2 linked regions of the Xenopus tropicalis genome follow. The protein of the gene in region 2 purifies or fractionates together with the protein of the main gene of each other region. This does not show direct contact. Links are inferred from orthologs where the notes say so. Each region holds a gene or a part of one and is shown on either strand. Other genes may lie near its edges.

The links. The genes of interacting proteins can lie anywhere in the genome.
Region 1: the proteins of krasl (region 2) and hspd1 purify together in Homo sapiens (affinity purification with mass spectrometry; 3 studies listed by BioGRID and IntAct, with this or other methods). This does not show direct contact. The link is inferred for Xenopus tropicalis from reciprocal best matches to the Homo sapiens genes KRAS and HSPD1.

What each region holds. Positions count from the first base shown.
Region 1 is NC_030685.2:46,506,185-46,510,021, forward strand, and holds the end of hspd1 (60 kDa heat shock protein, mitochondrial), read right to left. Parts: intron 3,375-3,837; coding exon 3,196-3,374; intron 1,301-3,195; coding exon 1,139-1,300; 3' UTR 766-1,138; downstream 1-765. UniProt on the Homo sapiens protein: Chaperonin implicated in mitochondrial protein import and macromolecular assembly. Together with Hsp10, facilitates the correct folding of imported proteins.
Region 2 is NC_030679.2:2,101,593-2,105,784, reverse strand, and holds part of krasl (GTPase KRas), read left to right. Parts: intron 1-2,816; 5' UTR 2,817-2,829; coding exon 2,830-2,940; intron 2,941-3,749; coding exon 3,750-3,928; intron 3,929-4,084; coding exon 4,085-4,192. UniProt on the Homo sapiens protein: Ras proteins bind GDP/GTP and possess intrinsic GTPase activity. Plays an important role in the regulation of cell proliferation.

The sequences.
Region 1 (3,837 bases), on a different chromosome or scaffold from region 2:
TAAATATATAGAATATACCTACCCAATTTAATGGGGCCTGGTAGGCCCTCACAGCACCACTTGATAAGGAGAGTCTTGCTCTCCCTCACTTATACTTTACTTCCTGGTTAGTCAACTTTATAATATCCATAGCTCGTTCTATATAGATGACATGGACATAGGGCTTCTGCTCCTGAGACTTAGATTGGGCTTGTCTAAGGCAGTGAAGAACATGCAATATAGGAGTCTGACAGACTGCACTAAGTGCTCTTCAGTAGTCAATATCCCCTTTAGAGCACAGAGAACTGCCTGCAAGCGGTTTGTACACACTCCCTCTCATTTCTACTTTCCTTCTATTGTGTAGGACTTCAGGACCTCAAAGACACCTCATTATATGGGCTCTCTAGAACAAGCTTCTCACTTCCCCAATTGAATTGATTGAGATCCAGAGAGTACTAAACCCTATTAATGTCAATCTCCTCATCTTTCTCAAAGGCCAACATGCCCAACAGAGAGGATCAGTGGGGCAAGACCAAAGACACTTTGTACGGCAACTTGATTTCACTTTAAGATAGGTTGGTCTAAATAAATTAACTCATCAGCTGTATATATATCTTTGATCGGGGTCTGCCATGAATAAGTTTTGTTAAAACCTCATCTGTTTAAAAGTTAACACTATTAAAAAGTAAACACTATTGTAAAAAAAGCAAGAAATAGAAAAAGAACAGTGCAGACAGCAAGACAAAAAACCAAAAAAAAAAACCAAAAAAACCTTACATTCGGAACTAATTTAGAGTAAACATAATTAATACATTTTTATTTTAACGTCTTTTAGATAGCCAGGATTAGACACTAACATTTAAATCTGGGCAGTAGTGGTAGTAAAATGTAAAAACTATCAATAAACTTGAAGCACTGGTAAAAATGACAATAGTTTAAACAAATGTTCCTGTAACAATGGCAACTACATAATTTTTCCGGAATGTACAAAGGTCTACCAAAAAAGAAAATAAATTACACAAGGGCATGAATAATGATAGCAGTAAACAGTTAAGTAATCTTAACCAACTTTTGAAACGTATCACCAGCTTCACGGTTCGGTTGTCTCAACATTTCAGAGCTTTTAACATGGGCATTTATCAGTTCTTAGTTTAAAAATTTAGAACATTCCACCTCCCATACCACCGGGCATGCCTCCCATTCCTCCCATTCCGGCCATGCCACCATCTTTTTCTTCTTTTGGAATTTCAGTCACAACTGCTTCAGCTGTTGTCAAGAGTGAAGCAACACCGGCAGCATCCATCAAAGCTGTCCTCACAACCTGTAAATCATAACACATCATTGTATGTGAAGCATAAATAAAATAAAATAGTCTCCACTGGGCTATTTTTCAAGCACACACATACATTTTCATATTATTATAAGATTATATTATATATAGGTGTGTGCATATATACTGCTTAGTAGATTATTACAGATTCAGTGTATATCAATACACAATATCAATGTGACAGACTGCAAAGTTGGAAGCAGGATAGTGGTCCCTTCTCAAGTAAATTATTAGAAATACCTAGACACCAACTGTAAGAACTCTATGGCAAGTGTGTGACATGGACATTTCATTGTAAGCTCTGGAATAAAATGTGTGCAGATGTCTGTGTAAGAACTAGGTTTTTAGAGAGTGTACCCATTAAACAGTAAAAATGTCATTCTACAAAAGGCCATAGTAATTATAACAGGGCAAGAAAATTACATTTAAATGTCATACATCTAAAAAATGTGCTTTATTAAATTGTTTTCCTACATGTATACAAGAAAGAAGTCAGTGTTACACTACCCACAATTTACAGAGGGCTCAGTTCAAGTTGTCAGTATCTGACATTATATAGCACTTAAGTTTGTTAACATTGCTTAAATATTTATTTTTATGATGTACTATGTAGGAACCTGGATAATGGTGTGGTAGTATACGAAGCTACTTAGATTTTACCTAGGCTTTTGATTACAACATATTACACTTGCTTTCTAAACTAAGCTGTTCTTGGTAATACTGCTTGCAACACAGATAGAAAACTGGCTAGAGAGAGAGAAATGGTTCTAAGCAGTACATCCTCCACCTGAAATAAGGTTCTTAGTAAGATGTCGCTAGGTTCTGTATTGGGTCCACTTTGATAATAATGTCCATTTAAAGCCATCACAAAACAAATTGAATCAATGCATTAGTGTTTGCCAATGCAGGAAAATGAAATCAATCCTGGATGCATCATCCTTGCAGGAGATCGGGATAAACTGGCAATCTGAACAGTTAAGTGGTAGATGTGATGTTAATAAACCTAAAGGTTTTGTACTTAAAATTTAGGCTAATGGCCCATGGAGTGAATTTGGGAATCTGATCAGCATACTGTCCTGGCTTGCTTAAAGGAATAGTTTGGTGCAAAAATGAAACTGGGTAAAATAGACTGCACAAAATAAAAACTGCTCTCTAAGCCGTTAGTGGTCAGTAACCAATCAGTGACTTTAGGGGATGCCACATGGGACATAACCATTAGGTTAGTTTGTGAGCATGTAAGTCAGATTGAACAGTTATGTCCCATGTGGTCCCCCCTAAAATCACTGACTGACTAAGGTTACAGAGCTGAAAGAAGAAAGTAGTGATCTGGCTATTATGTTGGACATCTGTCCACTTCCACCTTTAAAGATTACATTTTTGCCTAACTATATTAGAAATATTTTTTATTTTACAGTCTAATTTTACCCAGCTTAAATTTTTGCACTGAACTGTTAACTTTAAAAACCTCAGTGGCTGATGCTCGGTCTACAAAGTATTTCATGTAATTGCCAATTTTAGAAGCAATCCTGGACTTCTTTTCCAGAAATCCTTCTGCTTTGCAAACAAATGAGGACGTCTTTCCTAAACCAAACAGCGTTTCTAGTTGGAGTAAGGAGCTTTCCATGTAAAGCTGTGAAAAGGGTTCCCCCACAAAAAAAATGTTCTCTACCTGAAGTGCTTCTACTGGGAGATACAAGGTTACTGAATTAAGGGTATGAGGCAAATCAGGAGGTGGTTTAAGATTATGCCTCCCTTTCGATAATCTAGAACGTAGGAAGGTTCTATTTGGAAAAAAGCTGATCATGATGGACTACTATGGGTCTAGCTAACTGCACTAAGCCAAGAGAGATATAGATATATTGTATGTACTAATTTTATATTGTTACCTTTGTGGGGTCAATAATGCCTTTTTCCACCAAGTTAACAAATTCAGCATGCATGGCATCATATCCAATCTCAACTGGACTCTGAATGATCTTTTCTACCACTAATGATCCTTCAACACCTGCATTTTTTGCGATGGTCATTGCAGGAATCTTCAGTGTTCTCCTTATGATTTCAATGCCTGTTAAGAAAATATTAAATACAATTCCAACATTAAACAATCTCTTACAAATATGTAAAAGTAATCTGAAATTTAAGATACACATTCCATAAAATTAAAAATATTGTAACAAACTAGTCTATGATGCTCCACACCAAAAAGCTCCATCACAAAAATAATTAGCCACATAACATTTTAAGCAGGACAAGTTCATTTGTGGAGTTGAGTCTTCAATAAATGTACAAGCATCGGAGCACACCTTTGTGCATGCCGAGATCCAGGTTTGCTTGACAAACTAGCAATCTGGGCAGCTTAGTGGCAGATGAGATTTAATGTGTACCTCGCATGTAAAAATATGCAAGCCACTTACACTTAATGGGACTGCACTAGGCAAATCCATAATGGAGAAGGAGTCCTTGTAGATAATAAACTTGGCTGTAGCAAGCAATGCCAGACAGCAGCTGGCTAATACATTAGATAGTGT
Region 2 (4,192 bases):
CACAGATCCTATCTGATCCCCCCATTGTAAGCAGCAGTCCTGCCCTGCTTTATGGCTGAGATTCTAGCTATCTGTATAACAGAGCATTCTGTCACAGTGGCACAGATCCTATCTGATCCCTCCCATTGTAAGCAGCAGTCCTGCCCTGCTTTATGGCTGAGATTCTAGCTATCTGTATAACAGAGCATTCTGTCACAGTGGCACAGATCCTATCTGATCCCCCCCCCCATTGTAAGCAGCAGTCCTGCCCTGCTTTATGGCTGAGATTCTAGCTATCTGTATAACAGAGCATTCTGTCACAGTGGCACAGATCCTATCTGATCCCCCCATTGTAAGCAGCAGTCCTGCCCTGCTTTATGGCTGAGATTCTAGCTATCTGTATAACAGAGCATTCTGTCACAGTGGCACAGATCCTATCTGATCCCCCATTGTAAGCAGCAGTCCTGCCCTGCTTTATGGCTGAGATTCTAGCTATCTGTATAACAGAGCATTCTGTCACAGTGGCACAGATCCTATCTGATCCCCCCCCATTGTAAGCAGCAGTCCTGCCCTGCTTTATGGCTGAGATTCTAGCTATCTGTATAACAGAGCATTCTGTCACAGTGGCACAGATCCTATCTGATCCCCCCATTGTAAGCAGCAGTCCTGCCCTGCTTTATGGCTGAGATTCTAGCTATCTGTATAACAGAGCATTCTGTCACAGTGGCACAGATCCTATCTGATCCCCCCATTGTAAGCAGCAGTCCTGCCCTGCTTTATGGCTGAGATTCTAGCTATCTGTATAACAGAGCATTCTGTCACAGTGGCACAGATCCTATCTGATCCCCCCATTGTAAGCAGCAGTCCTGCCCTGCTTTATGGCTGAGATTCTAGCTATCTGTATAACAGAACATTCTGTCACAGTGGGCATATTGGAATGCCATCCCTGTAGCTTTTGCCCCCGGGGCAGCAGCTGAGTGACACTAATGTGGTTGTGACTAGTCAGTAACCTGGAGATGACAAACAGAGGGGTTGGTATTAACAAAGGGTCATGTGACAGGGGGACGGTGGGGGGTAGGAAGGTGCTAGTAGCACAGTTCTGCCCAAGACCCAGGTGCCTATTGTGTTTGGAAGGAAAGTGTGAGCTGTAGAACCGGTTGCACCAGCCTGGGCCCCGGTGTCTGGCCCAGATACCAATCTCGCCCGGGGGTGGGTACGGCTGTTTCACTTTATGACAGACGCTGTTGATTTAGCGGTTACAGAGAATCTTGTGTTTGTATGTGGCCGCATTCCTCTGGCGCATGATGCATTCTCATTGGCCGGGGGCCACACAGGTCATCCCCACAATTACACTTTATAGAGAGAGAACTTTGTTTTAAAGGGGAACTCCGCCCAAACGCTGGAAGGAAATCTTCCCAATATCCATTTATTGTGTCTGTCCCTTCCCTGCACTGCTGGTTCTGACTCCTGATACAACTCCCCAATACCCATTCATTCCTCATTCTCACTGGGTTTATAGTTATGTGTAACTGTCACTGTGTCTGTCTCTTTCCCTTCTCTGCACTGCTGGTTCTGACTCCTGATACAACTCCCCAATATCCATTCATCCCTCATTCTCACTGGGTTTATAGTTGTGTAACTGGTTCTGACTGTTTATATAACTGTATCCCTGTATGAAGCAGTGCAGGGAGAGCCCAGTTATACCCAGACCCAGTTATTTTAGTCCCAGAATTCAGTGGGGCACTGGGAGTCCCTGGGAGGGATGGGGCTGAGCCCTTGAACTTTGCGCTGCTATAAAGTAAATGCTTTAGTGTGCCGCCCTTACAGCAGCTCTATCAGTGACCCTGTACAGAGATAATGACTGAGATTTATTGCCATTTAGTAGGAATGGGCCAGATTGGTTCCAGGATTCTTTACTCCGATTCATTGTGCCCAGCAAATTGATATGTGACCCACTTGCAGTGGGTGCTGTAGGGGAGTGACCCCCATATAAGTGATCGGTACCCACCTATACATTATTGGGGGGGCGGGGCATCTTGTGGCTTTCCCTTAGGGTTTATGGGCTACTGGGCATTTGTCTGGTTCTGCCATCCCTCAGGACTAAATGCCAGCTGGGCTAGTGACATGTAAGGCCCATTACCTGCCCGGGACCAGCTCAACCAGTGGGTTGCAGGGATTCCCTTCCCCCCCCCTATACCAAAAGATATTGTGCCCAAAAGCCCCCCCCCAAACCCCCCGGAGTCCAGAATCTGCCCCACTACTCGTTGTTAGGCAGCAAAATGCAGCCCTGTCCAATAGGAGAAGGGAGCATGCAAAGCAAAAGAGCCCTCGATAGATTGTTAGCTCTTCTGAACAGTTCCTTAGTGTCTATAGAGGGCACTTGTTCTTTGCTTGCTCCCTGCTCCTATTGGACAGGGCCCTGTTAGACACTAAGGAACTGTTCAGAAGAGCTTACAGTCTAACGGGGCCCTGTCCAATAAGAGCAGAGAGCAAGCAAAGCACAGGCACCCTCTATAGACACCTAGTAACTGTTCAGAAGAGCTAACAATCTAAGTTTCTATAGAGGGTATCTGTGCTTTGCTTGCTCTCTGCTCTTATTGGACAGGGCCCTGTTAGGAACTGTTCAGAAGAGCTAACAATCTAACAGGGCCCTGTCCTATAGGAGAATGGAGCAAGCAAAGCACCGACTCCCTCTATAGAGACTAAGGAACTGTGCAGAAGAGCTAACAATCTAACAGGGGGAAGCAGACAAACACAAGGGTTTGGTTGGGCACCATTCTTGGGACTGAGGCTGATGGGAAATAAATTAACCCCTCGGTTACTGTTTATCTTTACAGATTTGGCGCCAAGATGACGGAGTACAAACTTGTGGTGGTCGGAGCGGGAGGCGTAGGGAAGAGCGCCCTCACCATTCAGCTCATCCAGAACCATTTTGTGGATGAATATGATCCCACCATAGAGGTAAGGCTGCTTCAGGGTGGGGGGGGCGGTCCTTAAATATTGGTCATGTGACCCCCCCCCCCAATACAGTACATTGGGCTCTGTGTAAGTGCTGGCTTCCCATACACCCTTAAATGTTCCCCTTTGAGTTAACATTTAGTTGGATGTAGATATGATATTCTGAGACAATTTGCAATTGGTCTTCTGCAGGTCATTGGTTGCTAGGGTCCAAATTAACCTTAGCAACCAGGCAGCAGTTTGAAAGAGAGACTGATATATGAATAGGGGAGGGGCTGAATAGAAATTTAAGGAATAAAAAGTAACAATAACAATAAAACTGGAGCCTCACAGAGCAATAGGTTTTGGTTGCTAGGGTCCAAGTTACCTTAGCAACCAGGCAGCAGTTTGAAAGAGACACTGCTATATGAATAGGGGAGGGGCCTGAATAGAAAGATAAGGAATAAAAAGTAACAATAACAATAAAACTGGAGCCTAACAGAGCAATAGGTTTTTAGTTGCGAGGGTCCAAGTTACCTTAGCAACCAGGGAGTGGTTTGGATGAGAGACTGGTATATGAATAGGGGAGGGGCTGAATAGAAAGATAAGGAATAAAAAGTAACAATAACAATAAAACTGGAGCCTCACAGAGCAATAGGGTTTGGTTGCCGGGGTCAGTGACCCCCATTTGAAAGGCAAATAATTCAAAAACTATAACAAATAAATAATGAAGACCAATTGAAAAGTTGCTTAGAATTAGCTGTTCTATAACATCCCACAGCAGGGGGGCCCTTGGCTAAAAGCCTCCGCTCATACCCCTTTTGCCCCCGCAGGACTCGTACAGGAAGCAAGTGGTGATCGATGGGGAGACCTGCCTGTTGGACATACTGGACACCGCGGGGCAGGAGGAGTACAGCGCAATGAGGGACCAGTACATGAGGACCGGGGAGGGGTTTCTCTGCGTGTTTGCCATTAACAACACCAAATCCTTCGAGGATATTCACCATTATAGGTAAGGGGCTCATTCTCTGCCTTATATAGATATTGGCTGCACTGCTGCTTCTGACTCCTGACACATTGTAGTAGAAGCAGCTGCTACAATGTGTGGAGAGTCGGAACCAGACCCGGTTGAGGACTGACCCGACGCACTTGCGTTATTTCCCCGCAGGGAGCAGATAAAGCGAGTGAAGGATTCGGAGGACGTGCCGATGGTTCTGGTGGGCAACAAGTGCGACCTGCCCTCCCGGACGGTGGACACCAAACAGGCGCAGGATTT